3 linked regions of the Elephas maximus indicus genome follow. The protein of the gene in region 2 interacts with the protein of the main gene of each other region in a biochemical or structural test. Links are inferred from orthologs where the notes say so. Each region holds a gene or a part of one and is shown on either strand. Other genes may lie near its edges.

What was found.
Region 1: the proteins of DHX9 (region 2) and EIF2AK2 form a complex in vitro, tested with the Homo sapiens proteins (2 studies listed by BioGRID, with this or other methods). The link is inferred for Elephas maximus indicus from reciprocal best matches to the Homo sapiens genes DHX9 and EIF2AK2.
Region 3: the proteins of DHX9 (region 2) and AKAP8L form a complex in vitro, tested with the Homo sapiens proteins (2 studies listed by BioGRID). The link is inferred for Elephas maximus indicus from reciprocal best matches to the Homo sapiens genes DHX9 and AKAP8L.

Annotation. Positions count from the first base shown.
Region 1 is NC_064844.1:27,163,390-27,170,613, reverse strand, and holds the start of EIF2AK2 (interferon-induced, double-stranded RNA-activated protein kinase), read right to left. Parts: upstream 3,032-7,224; 5' UTR 2,734-3,031; intron 421-2,733; exon of another isoform or gene 268-420; intron 1-267.
Region 2 is NC_064842.1:46,178,562-46,185,805, forward strand, and holds the start of DHX9 (ATP-dependent RNA helicase A), read left to right. Parts: upstream 1-4,185; 5' UTR 4,186-4,315; intron 4,316-7,244. UniProt on the Homo sapiens protein: Multifunctional ATP-dependent nucleic acid helicase that unwinds DNA and RNA in a 3' to 5' direction and that plays important roles in many processes, such as DNA replication, transcriptional activation, post-transcriptional RNA regulation, mRNA translation and RNA-mediated gene silencing.
Region 3 is NC_064821.1:35,594,068-35,601,948, forward strand, and holds the start of AKAP8L (A-kinase anchor protein 8-like), read right to left. Parts: upstream 3,007-7,881; 5' UTR 2,901-3,006; coding exon 2,888-2,900; intron 1-2,887. UniProt on the Homo sapiens protein: Could play a role in constitutive transport element (CTE)-mediated gene expression by association with DHX9. Increases CTE-dependent nuclear unspliced mRNA export.

The sequences.
Region 1 (7,224 bases), on a different chromosome or scaffold from region 2:
CTCAGAGTGACATTTTTAACTTTTGAAAGAGGTCTTTTGCAACAGATTTGCCCAAGGCGACACGTCATGTGATTTCCTGACTGCTGCGTCCATGGGTGTTGATTGTGGATCCAAGTAAAATGAAACCCTTGACTTCAATCTTTTCTCCATTTATCATGATGTTGCTTATTGCTCCAGAATAACATGGTCAGTACCCAGCTGTTATTCTAATTGCAGTAGGAAGCCACTGGAGGGCTCTAAGAAGAGGGGTGATGTGATCTGACTTACGTTTTTGACTGATCTCTCTGATGCTGGTGAAGAACAGAGTATGGGCGTGGGGCATGAACATGAGTAGAAGTAAGGAGACCACGTGAGGCTCCTGCAGTGGTTTAGGTGACAGACAGTGGTAGCTGGAAGCAGGGCACTGGAAGTCCCTAGAGTCTGAGAAAAGGAAGCACATTCACATTACAGCCTGGAATTGGAGAAAGAGCTTAGGCATTAGAGCGACACAGACCTGGACTAGACACCTCTGTGGGCCTTTGACTCATGATCTGAAAACAGGAATAAAAATGCCTGATTCGCAAGATTGTCATGAGGAATAAGTCAGATATAAAGTCTTTAGCAGAATCCCCCACCCCACCCACATAACTGGCCTCAAAAGGGTATACCAGGTCTGCAATCCCAAACTCCAAATAGTTCTGATAACTAGGGGTTTTTGTTTGTTTATTGTTAATTTATTCATTTTGGTAGGTTTGGAGCTACCTGTGTTGACCTGAACAGTCATGAGCCATTTAGAGTCTCTATTATACTTTGTTACCTATATAACTTGTCACTGCAGAAATACTAATATGTTTTATTATGAGGTACCGCCCCAAATCCCTCCAAGGGCATTCTATAATAAGTAGTATTTACACTGCATTGCCTTTCTAAAATCCAAAAATCTCTGAATTCTGGAACAAATCTGGCCCAAGGGTTTTGAATAAGGGACTGTGAACTGCACCATTATTTTCAGGAACCAACGTGTCATTTAGTTAGTCACGACCATGAGGCCACATATCCAGCTGAAGGGGTCACAGATCTCAGAACTGCAGTGACAAGAGAGCCCCTGGCAATTATACTCTAAAGTCCTATAGAATGCTCCAAATCCTCAGTACAACCAGTTTGAACATGCGTGAACACATGAATGTATATGTAAACTAATAAAGTGCTGCACTGGTATGTTTGAAACAGTACTTTTGAGTTTGGAAGCAAGGAAATAGGTTTCTTTTTAATTATCTTTGACAAATCTGGTTTTAATTCTATGTTATCATTTTCAGAAAGGAGATCTCCACCATACTGACTAACAAATATTATCTGTCCCTCTTATTCATGTCCAGAAGTTTCTTTGGCTATGCCCACCTTCCCTGCCAGCAAACTGGGAGCCCTCCGTAGACCAGACCACCTCCAGAGTCTGCACAATGCTTGGCCTATAACATGCATTCAAATAATACCTAATTAATAAATGACTAAACTACAGGTTGAGTGTTATGGATCTTCTGGTTCAAAGAGGCAAAATGAAGAACAAGAGTATAATCTGTCCAAGATTAAATAGTTTCTAACTGACAGCTGAGAGTGTATCTTTTAGCTTCCATTCTGGCAAGGTGTTCTTAGCACTAAGGAGAACATGAGCAAGAGGATATCTCATTATTCTGGAATTCAAAAGAGAACTGATGAGTTACCATTCATTTAACAAATATTTATTGAGCATCTATTATGTACCTGGCACTGAGGTTATGCCAGTGAAAAAAACACATAAGTCCCTGCTCTTGTGGACTTATTTACTAGTAGAGGAACAGATAATAAACTTATAATAAGTATCAGAGTGTGATAAGTTCTATGGTGAAAAACAAAGCAGAGTAAGGGAGACAGAAGAGTAAGAGTGACAGAGTAAGCCAGCAGGAGAGAGAGGGGGATAAGACGGGCAGGGTGGTGGTGTTTTCATACAGTGTTCAGGGAAGGCCTCTCTGACAAGGTGGCATTTGAGGAAGCACAGGATGAAGCTAGGAGCTGGTCCATGCAGGTATGGGGCGGGGAGGGGCGAAAGCGGAAACAGTGCAAAGACCCAAACGCAGCAGTGTAACAGCGAGGACGCTGTGTGGAGGGAGCGAGAGGGCTCGTTTGTGGGCCCTGACAAGGCCTGAAGACAGGATTCTTATGAGAAGGGAAGCCAGTGGGGGAGTACCTGGCAGGTGAGAGTTGGCTCTGATTTACAGAACACTCTGATAGCGGTGTTGAGAAGAGGTAGCGGGTCAGGTAGAGGCGGAGCAGGTGCCGGGCTAGCGGGTGGGACACCACCGTGACTGTCTAAGCAGGAGATTTCTACCCACGGACTATTAATCAAGCTGTGGCTACTTCAGGCCTCCACACATTCCCCATGTCAAGTCGTTGGGCCTATCCTCACCCCCTCCGCCGGCCTGGGAGCGATGTATGAATCGCTCTGATAAAAATTCTCACCGCGCTCCACGACCCTCAGCCCACATCCGGGAAGGGCCCCGCACAACCGCGGCGGGGCTCTGACCGCTCTCCCGGCGCTGGCTCCGGGGGCCTCGTACCAGGGTCTGCATTCCCGGCGGGGTCGCGGGATCGGCGCGCGCCTCCGCCCAGCCGCCGGGCCGGGCCGCCGGGCCGGGCCCCCCGCCTGTCCCCGCGCTCGCCCCGCTGTCCGCCTGCCCGGCCGCCCCCGCGCTCGCCCCGTGCCCGCTGCTCCGGCCTTACCGCCTGACGACTCCGCTCAGCCCGCGCTGCTGCTGTCCGCTGAAGCTCTGCGGTGTCTGAACAGCTTGCTCTCAGTTTCGTTTTCCCGGCGAACCCCGCCTTCCTCTGCGGCGGCCTAGCCAGCCGCGTGCCCGCACACGTCCGCATGAGTTCCGGGCTGGGGGAGATTGGCGCCTCCACCCGCAGGCTTGCGGGGGACGCCGCGGGGCGGGCTGGGCAGCAGGGGCAGCCCCAGTGTGGAGAGAAGGCCTCCAGGCAAAGGGGAGGACGCAAGGTCCCCAGGCGCCAGCAGCGGTGCCAGGCACTCGTCTGGGATCAGAGATCCCAGTTAACTCCTCCACGCAAACATTTTGGCTGGCTTTGGTGGCGGTGGGCAAGTGGATATTATCAGCTCCATTTTACAGTAGAAGAAACTGTAAATTAACACCCCGGGGTCCTGCCGCTGGTAAGTGGCGACGCCAGAGTGCAATTCAAATCCAGGCCAGTAAACCTCAAAGCACCCCTTTCCAACACTACTGGCTCTCTCTCATGCCTACAAAGCTGGAAATGAAGAGGCCTGGGGACATAATTTCCCTTCAGTCTGTTTCCACTCATCCTTCCAGGGACTGATTACCCGATATGCAAGGTAAGCACATGTTTAGGATGTCAACAAAACAGGGGCACCAGGTGTCCAAAGCAAAGACCCGTAGATGCCAAGCGACAGGACATACAGAAAAGCGAGCGCAGCAGTGGAAGGGAACCAGCAGGGCGCCAGCTCCAGGGCATGAGACTGTGCCAGTCAGTTCACACAGCGTCATGAGGGAGCCGCACACGTGGCAAGGCTGTTTAAATTATGAGGTTTCGTTTTGTTTTTGTTTTTGTTCCACTTAAACACCTTCTTGACATCTTTCTCTTTCAGAAGCAGTTGGGTTTTTTCCTACTGTTCAGTTACCCTATACATTCTTTGTCACCTCTACTCACTGATGGGCGATTCTTAAAACATATTTAGGCGATGATGGAGTATTAAAATGTCTTTCTAATACGCATTGGGAAGCACATGCTGTAGCAACAGGTACAATCTTGGAATCGTACATTTATATTCTAGACGCTTTAGAAAATATTGCTGAAGACTAGACACAAAAAGGAGCTACCAAAAGAGAAGCTGAAACATTGCTAACAAAATGCAAACCCAGGCATACTTCCTTGTATTGCGCTTCTCAGATATAGCATTTTTTTTTTTTTTTTACAAATTAAAAGTTCGTAGCAACACAGCATTGAGCAAGTCTGTCGCCACCATTTTTCCAATAGCACGTGCTCACTTTGCGTCTCTGTGTCACATTTTGGTAATTCTTGCAATATTTCAAACTTCTTCATTATTTTATATCTGTTATGATGGTCTTTGATGTTACTAGTGTAATTGTTTTGGGGTGCTACCATCTGTACCCATATAAGATGGCGAACTTAATGGATAAATGTTGTGTGCTCTCCACCAGCCATTACCCATCTCTCCCTCTCCTCAGGCCTTCCTATTCCCTAAGACTTGACAATATTGAAATTAGGCCAATTAATAACCCTACAGTGGCCTCTAAGTGTTCAAGCGAAAGGAAGATTCAGATGTCTCTCACTTTAAATCAAAAGCTAGAAATGATCAAGCTTAGTGAGGAAGGCATGTTGAAAGCTGAGATAGGCCAAAAACTAGGCCTCTTGCACCAAACAGTCAAGTTATGAATGCAAAGGAAAAGTTCTTGAAGGAGATTAAAAGTGCTACTCCAATATCCAGACACCTTGAGGGACTAAGTTGCTGGGGCTGGGGCTGGAGACCATGGTCTCGGGGGACATCTAGGTCAATCGGTATAACACAGTTCATAAAGAAAATGTTCTACATCCTACTTTGGTGAGTAGCGTCTGGGTCTTAAAAGCTTGTGAGCAGTAATCTATTGGTCCTATCCCATCCAGAGCAAAGGAAAATGAGAAAAAAAAACAAAAAACAAAGACACAAGGAAAATATTAACCCAAAGGATGAAAGGACCACATGAACCAAAATCTCCACCAGCCTGAGCCCAGAAGAACTAGATGGTGCCCAGCTACCACCAGCAACCACTCTGACAGGGATCACAACAGAGAGTTCCGGACACAGTGGAGAGAAAAGTGTGGAACAAAATTCAAACCCATGAAAAAAGACCAGACTTACTGGTCTGACAGACACTGGAGGAGCCTCCAAGACTACGGCCCCTGGACACTCTGTTAACTCAGAACTGAGACAACTCCTGAAGCCCACTTTTCAGACAAAGATTAAACCAAAAACCAAACTTGTTGCCATTGAGTCGATTCTGACTCATAGCGACCCTGTAGGACAGAGTAGAACTACCCCATACGGTTTCCAAGGAGCACCTGGTGGATTTGAACTGCTGACCTTTTTTTGGTAAGCAGCTGTAGCTCTTAGATTAGACAGGCCTATAAAACAAACAATAACATATGTAAGGAACGTGCTTCTTAGTTCAGATACCTGAGACCAAATGGGCAACACCAGTCCAAAAGCAAGATGAGAAGGCAGAAAGGGACAAAAAAAACGGACAAATAACACAAGGAACCCGAGGTGGAAAGGGGGAAAGTGTTGTCACTTGTGACAAAACATCAGAATGTCACAAAACAATATATGTATACATTTTTGAATAAGGACCTGAAATGAGCTGTAAACTTTCAGCTAAAGCATACACACACACACACACACACACAAAAACTCTCTAAAGCTAAAAAAGAAAATAACCGCCCCCCCCCCCCAAAAAAGTGCTACTCCAGTGAACACATGAAGGCGAAACAGCCTTATTGCTGATATGGAGAAAGTTTTAGTGGTCTGGATAGAAGAGCAAACCAGCCACAAAATTCCCTTAAGCCAAAGCCTAATCCAGAGCAAGGCCCTAACTCTCTTCAATTCTATGGAGGCTGAGAGAGGTGAGGAAGCTGCAGAAGAAAAGTCTGAAGCTAGCAGAGGTTGGTTCATGGGTTTAAGGAAAGAAGCCATTTCCATAACATAAAAGTGCAAGGTGAAGCAGCAAAGACTGTTGAAGAAGCTGCAGCAAGTTATCCAGAAGACCTAGCTAAGATAATTGATGAAGGCGGCGACACTAAACAACAGATTTTCAGTGTCGACATAGCAGCCTTGTATTGGAAGAAGATGCCCTATAGGACTTCCATAGCTAGAGAGGAGAAGCCAACGCTTGGCTTCAAAGCATAAAAGGGCAGGCTGACATTTTTGTTAGGGGCTAAAGCAGCTGGTGACTTTAAGTTGAAGCCAATATTCTTTTACCATTCTGAAAATCCTAGGGCCCTTAAGAATTATGCTAAGTCAACTCAGCCTGTGCTTTATAATGGAACAACAAAGCCTGGATGACAGCACATCTGTTTACAACATGGTTTACTAATATTTTAAGTCCACTGTTGAGACCTACTGCTCAGAAAAAAAGATTCCTTTTGAAATATTACTGCTCATTGACAATGCACCTGGTCACCCAAGAGCTCTGATGAATATGTACAAGGAGATTAATGTTATTTTCATGTCTGCTAACGAAACATCCATTCTGCAGCCTATGGATCAAAGAGTAATTTTGACATTCAGGTCTTATTACTTAAGAAATGTATTTCATAAGGCTGTATAGCTGCTCTAGATAGTGATTCCTAAGATGGATCTGGGCAAAGTAAATTGAAAACCTTCTGGAAAGGATTCTCCATTCTAGATGCCATTAAGAACATTCATGATTCATGGAAGGAGATCAAAATATCAACATTAACAGGAGTTTGGAAGAAGTTGATTCCAACCCCTGGATGACTTTGAGGGGTTCAAGACTTCAGTGGAGGAAGTAAGTAACTACAGATGTGGTGGATATAGCAAGAGAACTAGAATGAGAAATGGAACCTGAAGATGTGACTGAATTGCTGTAATCTCATAAAACTTTAGTGGTTGCGGAGCTGTTTCTTATGGATAAGCAAAGAAAGTGATTTCTGAAGATGGAATCTGCTACTGGTGTAGATGCTGTGACCATTGTTGAAAACAAAGGATTTAGACTGTTACATAGACTTAGTAAAGCAGCAGCAGGGTTTGAGAGGGTTGTCTTCAGTTTTGAAAGTTCTACTGTTGCAAAACTGTTGTGGCTCCTATAGGACAGAGTAAAACTGCTCCATAGGGTTTCCAGGGAGTGGCTATTGGATTCGAACTGTTGACCTTTTGGTTAGCAGCCAAGCTCTTAACTACTGCACCACCAGGGATCCTAATAGACTAAAAAGAAAAAAAAGACTACAGTATAAACATAACTCTTATTTTTATTGTGATTTAGGTGGAAGTTTATAGCTCAAGTTAATTTCTTATACAAAAATTTATACACATATTGTTATGTGACATTAGTTGCAATCCCTATAATGTGACAGCACACTCCCCCTTTCTACCCCAGCTTTCTTGTGTCCATTCAACCAGTTTCTGTCCCTTCCTGCTTTTTCATCCTGCCTCCCCCCATTTGG
Region 2 (7,244 bases):
CAATTGGTCTCTATTTGCCTAGAGCAACAGAGGAAGATGGAAGTTCAGGAATAGGAGGAAGAAATGGAAAGTGTGACCAATTGTTTTCATGAACAACTGCCTCCTTTGCCATGAGACCAGAAGAACTAGATGGTGCCCAGCTACCATTACTGAATGTTTTGTTCAAAGATTCTATAGAAAAATCCTGATCAAAAGGGAGGAAATGCAGAACAGAATTTAAAATTTTCATGGAATCTAGTCTTTCTGGAGCCATAAAGGCTGGATGAACCCCTGAAACTGTTACCCTGAGATAATCTTTAAACCTTAAACCAAAAATAACCACTGAAGTCTTAAAACCAAACAATAGTTTAGCTTAACTAGTGAAGGATGTCTGCCTTGACCATTCTGTTCTTTTAAGACCTCTATGGGATTAAATTGACAACAACTGCTCAAAAGATTAGGAAATTTAGGGAGTAGTAATTTTAGGTTAATGGGGGAGGAACCACTCAGAAAAGGAGGGTAAGAATGGTTGTGCAACTCAAAGAATGTAATCAATGTCACTGAATTGTACATGTAGAAACTGTTGAATTGGTATATGCTTTGCTGTGTATATTCTCAACAAAAAAAACATTAAAAAAACAAAGGACTTGCCCTAAAAATTTATGTGTTTTAATGGAATATTTAAAAATATAAGGCTATATTGATTCTTCAACCAACTCAACATCATCAGAGCTACATCTTCATCCTTGGGGAGAAAGCAGAGGCTTGCCCATGTATCCTTGAATAAGCTTTCCCACCTTTTAAAGTATTTTTGATTAAATATTTAACATGTATAAAAGAATATCACATGTGTAAGGTGTAAAGACTAATATTTATCACATATGTGAAAGTGCCTGGTGGCACAGTGGTTAAGAGTTACAGCTGCTAACTAAAAGGTTGGTAGTACAAATCCACCAGCAGCTCCTTGGAAACCCTATGGGACAGTTCTCCTCTGCCCTGTAGGGTCCCTGAGAGTCAGAATCAACTCGATGGCAATGGGTTTGGTTTTTTTGGTATATGTGAGGGTGTAAAATATTCATTTGTTATAATTACTTTATAAGGAGCCCTTGTAGCACAATGGTTGAGCTCTTGGCTGCTAACCAAAAAGTTGGTGGTTCAAACCTACCTGTGGCTCAGTGAGAGAAACTCAATGGGGCAGTTCTCCTGAAACCTATAGGGTGGCTATGAGCTGGAGTCAACTCAATGGCACACAACAAGAAGAATTACTTTATGGTGTAGTACTGATATTTCATCAAATCTAAGATGCTATTGATTGTAAAACACCGTTATTTTACATACCTCTAAGAAAGGAAAAAACACTGACAAAGCATAACATGCCATCTAATTCCAGAGATACAAAAATGTTTTTGAGGTTTTAGAAGTGATAACGATATAGCATCTTTCCATTTTTAAAATGAGGTAACCATGACAAAGAGAGGTTAAATATCTTGAGTGGAGTTACATATGGTCTGTGGCAGAGCCAGAATTTGGAGCTTAACTGAGTGACACCAGACTATTTTACATCAAGAATCTCAAAACCTTATGTCCACTTACTATGTGTCTTTAACAATACCTCTTAGCCAATGTTATCCTTAAGATATAAACCCAGGGACCTCCTGATACAAAGAATCAGCTTCAGTATGGTACAAGGTGGCAAACAGTATAAAATGGTTGTATGGGAGGTAGAATTGCTTCATGGTTGTAAGTATGGCCTTAGATCCAGGCTGAGGGAATGTAAGGCCCAGCGCCACCACTTATCAGCTGTGTCTAAATTATACTTCAATAAAAAAAAACTAGATGGTCCAGGATTAACGAAATGAATTATTGAGTGAGTTCCTTCAGCTTGGCCTGTGTATAGTTGAAAGCTCTATGTGCAGAACAGTCCCCATGTCACCACCAACACTTGACGTTGTTCACTTTTCTAATTTTAGTTTTTAATGGGCAGGTTGTGATATTGTTTTAGTTGCATTTTTATTGTTACTGATGTTTTTGACCACCTTGAGTACACTTGGTAACCTTTTGGTTTTCCTCTTCTGAAAATTGCTTGTTCATGCCTCCTGAGGTTTAGTCAGCATCAGGTCCTCAAGCAGTTCCTCTTGGTTTGATCAGCCTCCACTCACTGGCCTCAGGCCTCTTTGGAACCAGGACCAAACACTGAATTGTTAGTGCAAGGGATAAACTACGCCTTGCATCTACCAAACTTAGGAATGAAGTCAATGTTTCTAAACTTATTTCTAGCCAGAAAGGTAAATGTGAAATGTTAAGTGGTCCAGTTGAAACAGACCTCTCATTATTTGACCTGTGGCCTCAGTTCCAAACTCTTAGGTAGCAAGAACGTTACTTATTTTCTTATAAGCTAAAAAAAAAAAAAAATTCCTACCCTGCTTTGCTAATCTCTGCAGTCTCCTAGATAGAACATCTAAGTGTAAATCCAGCCACTCTCTGGACTTCTGGGCCAGTTGAGTGCTTTCAGGTTTCATCTGCAAATGAAGATCTTAGAAGGTGCCAGTTGCCAGGGCAACCTACAATGGTAATGCCAGTTATGGGATCCAGTCCCTGGGGAGCTCTGGGTCTCAGGTGCAAAGCCTAAACTAAGAACCAAGTCAATAACAAAATTCTCCTTAATCCCTGAAAGTTAAAGATCCACTTCTGAAAATTTTATTTGCACTTAATGAAATATGTTGGCACTTTTGCTGTGTTCATTATCTACTACAAAACACTTGCAATCCATCTATGCTTGTTGATTCCTTATTAAGAGCATAAATAAGTATCAATAACACCTGCAGCTTAAGCACGCTGAAGGATACAAAAGAAAGAAAAGATTAAGGTCTTTCAATGATTTGATTCTCAATTCACATAAGGAAAATAAAAGGATGAATAAATGCTAAACTGTATTGTTCTGATTGTAAGTGCAAGAGAGTTTTAAAGAAGGAATTGATCACTATAAACTAGAAGGGTTAAGAGAAAAAATGTCATGAAAGAGGTGAAAAATAAGGATGGATAGGTATGATGCTCTCGTATTATTGATTGGTCTGTAGTCTCCAGAACAACCCCAGCAAAAAAAAAAAAAAATACTTTGTATTGTTGCCTTCATGAGTGGTGTAATGGTTAAGAGTCTTGGCTGTTAGCCAAAAGGTTGGCAATTTGAATCCACAGCTGCTCTTTGGAAACTTTATGGGGCAGTTCTACCCTGTCCTATAGGGTCTCTGTGAATGGAATCCACTCCACAGCAATGGGCCTTTTTTTTTTTTTTTTTTTGTATCTAGTCAAGAGGAGCCCTGGTGGTGAAGTGGTTAAAGCAGTTGGCTGCTAACCAAAAAGGTCGATGGTTTGAACCCACCTGCTGGCCGCTCAGCGGGAGAAAGATGGGGCAGGCAGTTGGCTTCCGTAAAGATTTAAAATCTTGGAAATCCCTTGGGGCATTTCTACTCTGCCCTATAGTGTCGCTATGAGTCAGAATCTACTGATGGCAGTGGGTTGGTTTGGGTTTTATGTAGTTAAGGATATAAATTATTCTAACGACTGTAAAGACAAGAGGATATTCAATTTAAGCCGTGTTGGTTTTATTCATTTGGGTCGTATGAATGAAGGTCCCAGCTTTCATAGAGCTTATTTCCTTCTCAGGGGATGTTCACATTCAGAGTATCTGAATCACTAGTAACTTTCATTACCATTTATTGAGCCCCTATTTTTTATACGTATGTGCCAGGTACTGAGTTAAGCCTCGTCCTTTGTCTTCTTATTTAATCACTACAGTCCAATGAAATAAACACTAAAATTTCCAGTTCTGTCTAAGAAGGGCGTCTCTCTCACCAGAGGCCCTTATCACATAAACTGGGAAACATCTTGTTGCATTAAAAAGCTAAACACCTCCCGCCGTCCCCTCCCTAAAATATTCAAAAGCATTAAAACTAGCAGCTATGCAATGGCGCCCTAAGCGCAGCAAGCTCCCAGGCGGTAAGATGAACGCCGCGCGAGGCTGCAGCAGGCCCGCCCCGCCCCCACCCGGGCGTCCCGCCCCGCCCCCACCCGGGCGTCCCGCCCCGCCCCCACCCGGGCGTCCCGCCCCGCCCCCACCCGGGCGTCCCGCCCCGCCCCCACCCGGGCGTCCCGCCCCCACGCTCGCCCTCTGCGCATGCGTGCGTGCACTAACCCCGCCCCTCTCGCGACGGTCGGAGCCATTTCGCCGCCGTCTCCATGCTGGTTGGGGTGCGCTCTGCAGGCGTCTCTGTGGAAGGCCGGAGTTACGGGCAGCCCTAAGCGCGCTGTGCTCTCGGGCACCAGAAGGCGAAGACTGGTAAGGAGAAGATACACTTCCCATCCTTTCCACTCTGCGGGGCGGCTGGCCCAGAGGCCCTGCGGCACTGCAGCCTGGCTTTGTTGCGTAGCGCGGGTGGCGGCGGCGGGTGGGGGAAGGGACGAACGGCCCTGCGAGTCCCCGGATTGCGGATTGTGTGCGCTGCTCGCTGAGGCGCGCTTGCGCAGTTCGAGGCCGCGCTGTGGGCCGCTAGTCCTCCGCCCAGCTCTCCCTTCAGCCTCTAACGCGCAACCCCCGCTTCCTCCATCAGCCTTCGAACGCCGGTGGTGGCGCTGTGCCGCTAAGGGAGAGGGGGGTGACTTGTCTACTTCTTAGCCGGCGGAGACCCCAGGCAAGGCCTAGCGCCATTCATTCGTGCCGCAAATATTCGTTGCTATCCTACAGGCACTCTCATGGAGCAGTAAGCAAGTTAGAATCCTTGCCTTTCCCTCGAGAGGTTGCGGGGAGGGGCAGGCGATACAAAAATGAGTATTTGCAGGCTTTTGTAAAAAATAGTAATCAGAGTGTAAAGGCAGAGAGCTGCTTGAGATAGTGTGGCAGGGAAATGGGTCTCGGACGAAGTGGACTTTTGAGCTGATAACTGAAGGCCGAGAATGCGTCATCGAGATGCGGAGGCAAAGCAGAGCTGCAGAAGGGATTAGTTAGCCGTAAAGCCAGAAATTGGAAAGGGGCTGAAAAAAGAAAGGCCACGTAACTGGAGTGTGGCGAGAAGGATTTAAGAATAGATTTTAGCAACACTGGAAAAGGAAGCCATTTTAAGACTCTATTGCAGTACTCTGGGTGTGCAATCGTGCTGGCAGGGAAAGATGGAGAGAAGCGAATGGGTTGGAGACATTTTGGAGGCAGAATTGCATAACGGTGGCAGATGGCACATCTGGAGTCAGACTGCCAACCTTGCTTGGTATTCTGGCTGCTCCAATTACTAGTTGTGTTTTCTAGGGTAAGTTATCCTTTGTGTTAGTGTCTTCGCCTGTAAAAGGGGAATAATGATTAAAAAAAAAATCCCATTGGGAAGTCGATTCCGACGCTTAGAGACCCGAAGAACTGCCCCATAGCGTTTCCAAAGAGCACCTGGTGAATTTGAACTGCCGACCTTTTGGTTAGCAGCCGAGCTCTTAACCACCGTGCCACCAAGGTTCTAGAGCTGTTTTTTAAAAAAAACATTGCCCTTGAGTCGATTCCGACTCGTAGCAGTAGCAGTTCTGTAGGATTATATAAATTCATGAAGATGATCCTCTAAGATACTGTGGCACATAGTAAGGGCTTTCAAAGGGGTTGCTGTGGATACTCCTGAGGAGTGGATGACTCCTAGATTGTGATGAAAGAGGTGGATGATGGTGCCGTTATGGAAATGGGAAGGAAAGATAGAGACAAGTTTGGGGAGGAAATTTAAAATTCGGTTTTTCCTCTTGGGTTGCAAAGTAAGCATTCAAATGAGTATGTTAATACTGCAGTTGGATGAATTATGGTTTTGGACTGAGCTTTCGGTACATATTTGGGCATCATTAGCATATAGTTGGTATTGAATATCTTGGGGTTAGATGAGACTATCTAGGAAGAAAGGAATTTGGTAGTGTAGTCCTTCTATTTCATGATACCGAGCCACCCTGAGGGCTTGTTTTTTAAATTAATCTCGGGTGGAATGTACAGCTAGGTATATTCAGCTTTTCGAGTAGGGTGGCCCTTCACCAAATGACTGATCAGGATTACCCTGTGGCCACAGAATAAATCTAACCTTACACCAAGGTCTGGTTTGATTACATTAGATTTAGGTGTTAACAGATGTACCAAGCATGAACAGAAGACAGAGGTTTAGTTTAACACTGGTAGTAGAGATTTCTCCTCACAGCAAACAAATCATAGGATATTTTCTCTGGTTCTAAATACAGACTCATATCTTGCTTGTAATTCAGATTCAGGTGCCAATAATCTGGGGTGCAGGGGGAGTGCCAGCAAGTATGATGCTTGTTCCAATGTCTTGATACAATTCAGGAAAACTTCATCATCAAGTAACAAGGCCTGAAGGACACATTTGGTACTCTGCCCCCTTACATTCAGACAACAGACTTTTTTTTTTTTTTTTTAAACAAAGTAATGAGAGGCAACCAGAGGATATTTAGCAATTTATAAGTAATAGCAAGCATTTATGCACTTGGCAAAGGGAAAATTAAAAGGTCGACTGCTCCCTGATAGTGTTCCTTACATTGTTTCCATTGTTAGAGTATGAAAAAGGATTCGTTCAGTTATCTCTCTAATGCGTTAAGCAATTTTTTTTTTTTTTTTAATTTTGATATTTGGTACAAGTATCTTAGGAACAGAAGTGAGTTACGTGGGAGCACTTTGAACATTGGGCTTCAGAAGGATTGAAGTGATGAGGCAATTTTAGAGCTAAGAGTGGACATGAGGGACACTTCGGAGGCATGTAAACATTTACTGAATACTGACTGTATTTGGACTTTATATACATGTACACATACACATATGTGTATCTTACACCCTTGAAGGTAATCTGTTAGCAGTCATATCAGAATGGTAGCAAGCCGTTTGTTTTATATACGATATGATTGATTTCTTAAATATAGTAGTTTGGGTTTGCGTTTAGGACGCCACAGTGGGTGTCTTGGAAAAGTTGCTTGACTTTTCTAAGCCCTAGTTATTTTCTCTGTTTAAAAGCAATTATGGTATTTATATAATAGTGTCTACCCTAGCTATCATTCGTAATGAAAATTGAGTTAAAATACATAAGGTGATTGTTGTAGAAAGTAGAACATTCCATAGAGGTATTTTTTTTTTTTTTTAAAGATACAAAAAAGTCAGTCACCCAAAGGTAGCCATTTTGAAGTGTTTCTTTTCAGTCTTGATTTATGCATATATACTTTTTATGTAGTTAAAATTACAAAGTTTATGT
Region 3 (7,881 bases), on a different chromosome or scaffold from region 2:
ACTGGATCCATTTCTAAGCTTTGGGAATTGAATTCATGCTGGCCCTTACTAAGCAGTTAGCAGTGAAGGTGGGATGTACCCACTGTGCCCCTTGCTTAGTGCACCAAACATAAACAAAGTAACTGAGTTCAAAAAGCAAGAGTTAACACAAAGATAAATTTGAATCATCGTCTATGCTTAATAATGGTAACATTTGCCTCAGGGCCGCCAAAAGTTATCCTTAAAGGCAAATATTGTCTGGAACATGACTTTAAAATGCCTTTGACTTTTGTAGTCTGCTTCTTAAAAGGGAAAGACATTATAAAGCTACCATGGCTTTTAGTTTGCCAAAATCAAGGAAAAACTAATCATTTTTTCCTTAGTACTCTGTCCTATGGGGTCACTACGAGTCGGAATGGACTCAACGGCAATGGGTTTTTGGTTTTAGTACCCAAGTGCCCACCCAAAGCTAGAATTACAGCCTATGAGATGTGGAGATGAAATTCAGGCTTGGTCATTAGTGGCAATAAGACCTCAGTCAGAAATTGCTGGCCCTCTATAGCCAAGATCCCTCTCCTATAAAAATAAGTAGCTACTCCACAGCACCTAACCACTCATCTTGGGTTTCTTCAGCAATCCTGCCCGTAAAAACCACAGAACTGGCTTCCGTTCTCAGGAAAACTTGGTCAAGAGAATTATAAGCGACAAGAAATGCTCGACTCTACTGGCATTGCCATGGGAAGCTGTCCTATGTAGTGCTGGACATTTAGTAGCATTCCTGGCTATCCCCGGGTGGTACAAACAGTTAAGTGCTCAGCTACTAACTGAAAGATTGGCGGTTCAAATCTACCCAGAAGAAAAACCTGGCGACCTACTTCTGTAGCATCAGCCATTGAAAACATTATGGAATACAGATCTACTCTGACACACAAGGGGTCACCCTGGGTCAGAGTAAACTTGATAGCAACTAGTTTTTTTTTTTTTTTTTCTTCTTCTGGCCCCTACCCACTAGATGCCAGTAGAGTATCCACCCCCAGTGGTGACACTCAAAAATGTATCCAGACATTGCAAAATGTCCCCAGGGGCAGTAGCACCCCTGGTTGAGAACTACTGGACTAGGGGACGGTTGCTAGAAAAATTAGGGATCTTGCCAAACTCCTGATCTGGGAGCCACAGCGGAAGGACTGGCACTGCCTTTTTGCCCAACCAGTTGCTATGGAGTCAACCCCTGTTCATAGCGACCCCATGTGTGTCAGAGTATAACTGTCTCCACAGAGCTCTCAACGGCTGGTGTTTTGGAAGCAGACCACCAGGACTTTCTTCTGAGGAACCTCTAGGTGGACTCAAACCATCAGCCTTTCTGCCTAGGTCAGCATGAAGCAGCCTGCAGTGGCGCTCTGGAGGCCCGGGCCCCTTCTCAGCTCTGCTCTTGCTGAGTAGAATGCAGGTTACCCAGCAACCACGCACACTCAAGCTTTTGACACCCCCATCTACGGCTCCTGGGTAAGAAGCTGCATCTGTCGCTGCCAAGGCACACTCAAGAGGCCTCTGGGCATCACCTAGAGTTTTGCAATCACTCAAGCATATCCTGTGGCCCCCTGCAGAGAGTCTCACCCACCCCCTTCTTTGTTCCAATGCCACTGGTTCCTTGGCTGAGCATCAAACACGCCGAGCACACTTCTGCCCGTGCTTCTCCACCAACAGCTCCCTGGGCCAGACAGTCTCATGCCCCCTCTCCACATATCACCTCTCCACAAATGTCTCTAGCCTTCCCATGGACTGTCCTCCCCCAGATGAATAGTTTCGCCTACTGAGATCTGCCCCTCGCCTATCAGCTGCTGGGTAGATTTTTGTCCACATTCTCAGTGCCTATGTGACACCAATAGATTTCCAAGTGATGGAAATGAGTAAACAATCGACTATTAGCCAAAAGGCTGGCTGCTCAAGTCCACCCAGAGGCACATCAGAAGAAAGTCCTGGCGATCTGTTTCTGAAAAATTAGCCATTAAAAACCCCATGAAGCAGTTCTACTCTGTACACGTGAATGAGGTCACCACGTGTCAGGGTACACTCAACAACTGTTTTTTGTTCTTTGGAACAACCTGAGTGGCCCAAACGGTTAAGCCCTTCTCTAACTAACCAAAAATGTTGGTGGTTCAAACCTACCCAGAGGCGCCTTGAAAGAAAGGCCTGGTAATCTGCTTCTGAAAGGTCACACATCCACTGAAAAGCCTATGGAGCAATTCTATTGAAACACATGGGGTCGCCATAAGTCGGCATCTACTCGAAAGCAACGAGTATTAAGCACAAACACAGCAAATTTAACAGATGCTGAATATATCGTTGTGGCAGCCAACCCTTCCTCCCCCACAAGGCTTTGGCCCGGCCCGAGGGCTCCGTCCCAGCTCAAACCTTTCAGGTATTCATTTTTTCCTCCAGGGCCTGGCACCTCTCCCAGCCCCTAAACACGCAATGGGGGGTGGGGGGGCGGTGCGCTGAGGCATTTTGCGGGGATACAACGCGGAGGAGAGCCCGACAATGGCGACAGCGGACGGGACTGCTCACTGGTTTTAAGGCCCGAGGCCTGAGAAGCGGCGACCTAAGGCGCCGAGGCGGCTGGGGCTGGTGGGAGAGGAACCTCAGGAGCCGAGGACCGGGGGCCCCCGGACATGACTGCAGGAGCCGTGGCCTCAGGCGGCCAGTGCCCGGGACGCGAGGCTGGGAGCACAGAGAACCAAGGGGCCGAGGCGTACCGGGCGCGACCTGAGGCGACGGACTCGCGGCGCCATTTTGTGGCCGCAGAACGGACAGTGACCTGGCCGGGGAAGCACGGGAGAACCCGGCGTGGCCCCGCCACATTCCCCTGCCGCTCCCATCTGGGGCCCGGCGCCGCCCCGCAGGGATGTACCTGTGTAGCTCATGGCGCCGGCGAACACTACGCCCGGCTCCTCGACAGCTGCTCCGCGAGCCCGACGCCGCGATAGTGGCCACAGTCCCCCGAGCCCCTTTTACCCACAGCCGAGCCCCGCCTCCGGACCGCATTGGTGTGCGCCTGCTTCGGACTTCACATCTATTGGAGAATCGCCCTGTCTATCTCGGAGTGTCGTCCTGCCAGGGGCTGAAGATGAGGCCAATCCAGAGAGCCCCGCCCTACTCCCGCCCCTCCGTCGTTCTACCCCTGCGGTGATTGGTCTAGATGGGGTGGCAGGGGTAGAGGTAGGTTCCTGTGGGGCTCGACGGGGGCGAAGCTGTTGGCTACGGAAAGGCCGAAGGCCCAAGCTTGGCCGAGCAGGACGCGCGATTGTGCCCTAGAGGCCCGCCAGAGGGAGCCGGGGTTCCCGTGCAGGAACAGCTCAGGTCCCTTGCTCTGCCACCCATTAAAAAAAAAAAAAAAACCGTTGCCAGTGAGTCAATTATGACTCATAGCGACCGTATATGATGTGCAAACCTGGGTATCTGAACTTCAGCTCAGGAATGAACATGGTGAAGCCGTGCAGGAATGGGAAAAATTACGACTAAGCGCCAGCCACGGCGCTGGATCCACGATCAAACGTTAAATGTGATCATGTATAAAGAAATCAGTTCACGTTGTACAACATGATTAATGTAATTGATGTCACTAAATCGTACACTTGAAAAACGGCAATAAAATCAGTACAAGGCCTGGTGCATCAAATGTTGCATTTTGTAATTAATCTTTACTTATTTGTATAGTTACACAGTATATATAGAGTCCCTGGGGGGCACAAACAGCGCTTAAGCTCCACTACTGATCTAAAGGGGCCCTGGTGGGGCAATGGTTAAGAACCCGGCTGCTAACCAAAAAGTGGGTAGTTCGAATTCAGACCCACCAGCTGCTCCTAGGAAGCCATATGGGGCAGTTCTACTCTGTCCTATAGGGTCGCTCTGAGTTGGAATCGACTCCAAGGCAATGAGCTTGGTTTGTTTTGGTTTACTAGCCGAAAGATTGATTGTTCAAACTCACCCAGAGGCACCTCAGAAGACAGGACTGGCGATCTGCTTCTGAAAGGTCACGGCCTTGGAAATTCTATGGAGTAGTTCTACTCCGCACACGTGGGGTCGCCATACACACATGGGGTCACCACGAGTCGGAATCGGCTCAAGGGCAACTACAACCACTATAACATAGTACACATGCATATTATATGTAATAAACATTAATTGTATTGTTCATCATCTCATCTACTCCCTCCAAACCCTCCAGGAGCTATTTTTATTCCCCATTTAAAAGATAAGAAAACTGGATCTTAGAATTCATGCCTTGCTCAAGGCCCTTGATACTTGACTGTTAAAGGTGGAACTTTGCCTCTAAAGCCCTCATGGTTCACTCTGGACTTTAGTGATTCTGCAATAGTGCAGCCAGGTGCCTGCCTTGTCCTCAACACTCTCTCTGAAAGTGTTGAAACCACTGCCAGGGACATCTAATAATTTCTAAGAGTCAATTTGACAGACAAGAAGGCAAACACGTAGTGTGTGTGTGTGTGTTTGTGAAAATGCATCCAGCTGTAGAGTTAGGACCTGTATGCTTTTTGCTGTGCTTCACTTAAAACGTTTTTTTTTTTTTTTTTTTAAAGTGTCCTGTTGCCGACCTACTTTTTGAAGTTAAGGATTGTCATCAATTTTTTAGGTGTAATAAAAAATCAGTTACTGTCATCTCTGACTCACGGCAGCCCCATGTGTGTCAGAGTATAAATGTGCTCCACAGTGTTTCCAATGGCTGACTTTTCAGAAGGCTTTTCTTCTGAGGAACCCGCTGGGTGGCCTTGAACATTCAACCTTTCTGTTAGCAGCTGAGTTTGCTCGCTGTCTGCACCACCCAGGGACTTTTAACTGTAATAATGGCATTGTTTTGGAATCCATATACCTTAAAGAAACATACTGAAACACTCACATTAGCAAATTAATTGATCTGGTGGTCAGGATGTGCTCCACCATAATTCAGGGGGGAAAGGAGGGGACAGAGAAGGGGAACAGGGTTGGGGAGGGAGGGGATATAGCTGAAGAGATTGGTCATGAGTTGAAAATCGATGAGTAGATGCAGATTTATTTTACTGTTCTCGCTACTTTTGTATGACTGGAATTCTCCATGATAAAATCTTTTTAAAAAAGCAACTCCCCATACACCAATGTTCATCGCAGCACTTTTCACAACAGCCAAAAGGTGGAAACAACCCAAATGTCCATCGACAGTTAAATGGATTAACACAATGCGGTGTACACACACAATGGAATATTACTCAGCCATACAGAAGTCCTGATGCACGCCACAACATAGATGATGAGCCTTGAAAACATCATGCTAAATCAGTTGCAAAAGGAAAAATACTGTGTGATCTCACTTACATAAAAAATATATAGAAACCGAAGATTATTATTGGTTACCAGGGGAAGGGACAAAGGGAGAATTTTTGCTTAGGGGACATTGGGTTTATGTTCATGGTGGTGGAGTGATTTGGAAAAGCATAGCAAGAACACTGGCACAACTTGCAGAATGCAATCAGTATAACACGTAGAAATGGTCGAGATGGCATGTTTTGTAATATTTTGACAAAAAAAAAAAATCCTCCCCTCAAATTGGGGCTTAGGCAGACAGGACTTGCGGCCATGTGGGGCAAGGTTTTGATGCGTTAAGTGAGAAACCACAGAAGCAGCACACAACACTCTGACTGACGTGTACTCCAGCTTTGGGGTTCCCCTCCGTGTCACCCCTAAGGGATGCTTACCTGGTCTCCAAAACTAAGGCTTAGAGCACCTCTCCTGGGTCCTAGAGCGTCACTCACAGCACTGGCTGCCCCGGCCCTCATTTCACCCCATCTGTTATTGATTTAACACCCACGGCCCTCATAGACCATTGAGAGAGAGAATAGTATTGCTTAAGCAGAGAAGGGATGTGTTCAGAAATGTTTTAGGAAAAGATCCCTCTATGGCAAGGACTGTATTCAGCTCTTTCGAATAAAAAAATCCAGTAGAGTCAGGCAGGACACAAACAGGTAACACTGCAGTCAGCCATCTCCAGGGGATTGGTGGATCAATGGTAGACTCCTCACCTTCCACGCAGGAGACCCGGGTTGGATTCCTGACCAATGCACCTCATACGCAGCCACCAAGCATCCATCAGTGGAGGCTTGCGTGTTGCTATGATACTGAACAGATTTCAGCAGAGCTTCCTAAGACAGACTAGGAATAAAGGCCTGGCAATCAACTTTAGGAAATCAGCCATTGAAAACCCTGTGGATCACCATGATCCAAACTGCAACCCATCATGGAAGTGCTGCAGGACCAGGCAGTGCTTCATTTCTTTGTGCATGGGGTTCCCAGGAGTCATGGGTGACTTGAAGGTAGCCAACAACAGACATCTCCAATAGCTGACTGTAGGAGGGATTGTTGTTGGTTGATGTGGAGTCAATTCTGACTCACGGTGAGTCCAAATGTTACAGAGAACTGCTCCATAGGGTTTTCTTGGCTGTAATCTTAGTGGTAACAGATCTCCAGGCATTTCTTCCGTGGCACTGATTGGTGGGTTTGAACCAACCTTTAGGTTTCGAGTTCAGCACAAACCATCGGCAACATCCAGGGACTTAGCGACAGTGGTGAGGTTAAAAACAGCATGTGATCAACAAGGAGCAGCTAACGAGGTCTCTTGAAATCTCAGAAATGTTCAACAAACATCTGCAGCACAAGCATGTAAATAACATCGCAAGGGAGTCAGTGCTCCCCTTTCTTTCCCTCATGTCACCAGGGCTCAGGATGCATGTATCTTCAGAGAAGTCACCTGTCTCCAGGTCAGGTCCTTCCTGCTGGCCCCCCATGGAATGCTTCTGGCTGCTTCCTGCTCCTCCCTCCCTCCATAGGCCCCCACTCCCTTGCTGGACAGCTCCTGCCCTTAGAAAGCCCTCCCAGCCTCAGTTGCTTCCCAGCCCTGGCTCCCTGCACAGACCAGCCTCCTGGAGCCCTGGGTAGCATCTCCTCTGCTCACATGAGTCACCCCCCAGCCAGCCAGAGACTCCCACTACCCAGGGTGTTGAGGGCTGCCAGCTGGGCAACTCGGCTCGTCCCCAACTGGGCCTGGTTGGCTTGGTGGTCAGTAGGAAGCCCAGGCCAATCCCAGCCCTGGCTGGCAGCCAAAGCCAGCCTGTCCACCCAAGAGAAACACGCACGCTGGCTGCCTGCCCCGGTGTGTTTCCAGAAGAGAAATTTAATCTAATTTACAGACTTCTAGGTACATCGATAACCAAAAGGTTGCCACTGGAAAAAGTTAAAAGGTCAATCAGCCTTCCCGGTATTTACCTGGCCCAGGATTGCAAATTAAAAAGATCGACGTTCCTTATTCTCTACACAAAACGCATTTTTAAAAAAGTGAAGGGTCTAGGGAGCTATACATAGAAAGCAACAGTGAAAAGGTGGGAAGGGGGCAGGTTGGGAGTGGGGGGAGAAGAGTCCCACCCCCCCCGGACCCCCAAGGCTCTGGGGGGCCTAGACACGGCAGGACATAGCTGTCAGCTCTGAGCTCTGAGCTCTTCCCAGCTGGGAAGGCCCCTCAGGGAGGGGGGTGGCCAATGAGGGTTTCCGTGGCATCGTGGGCTCAGTGGGGGCCTCCCGGGCCCCAGGGGGCCCAGCAGAGGGAGCATGGCTTCCCCTGAGCAAGCACCATGGCGTGACGGGGCTGCTCGACGCAGGAAGTGGGGGGCTGGGGCAGATCCCGGGCCTCGCAAGGTGCGTGTGTGTGCATGCACGCACGTGTGTTTGCATGTGTGTGCATGTGAGAGGATAGTCACGGGGCGAGCGGGAACCAGAACAAGGGTCTTTGGGGTCTTTGCAAATGGTCATAGGTGGCAGACATAGCCTTGCCTGGCTGCTGGGCACAGGGGAACACTGCCCCCC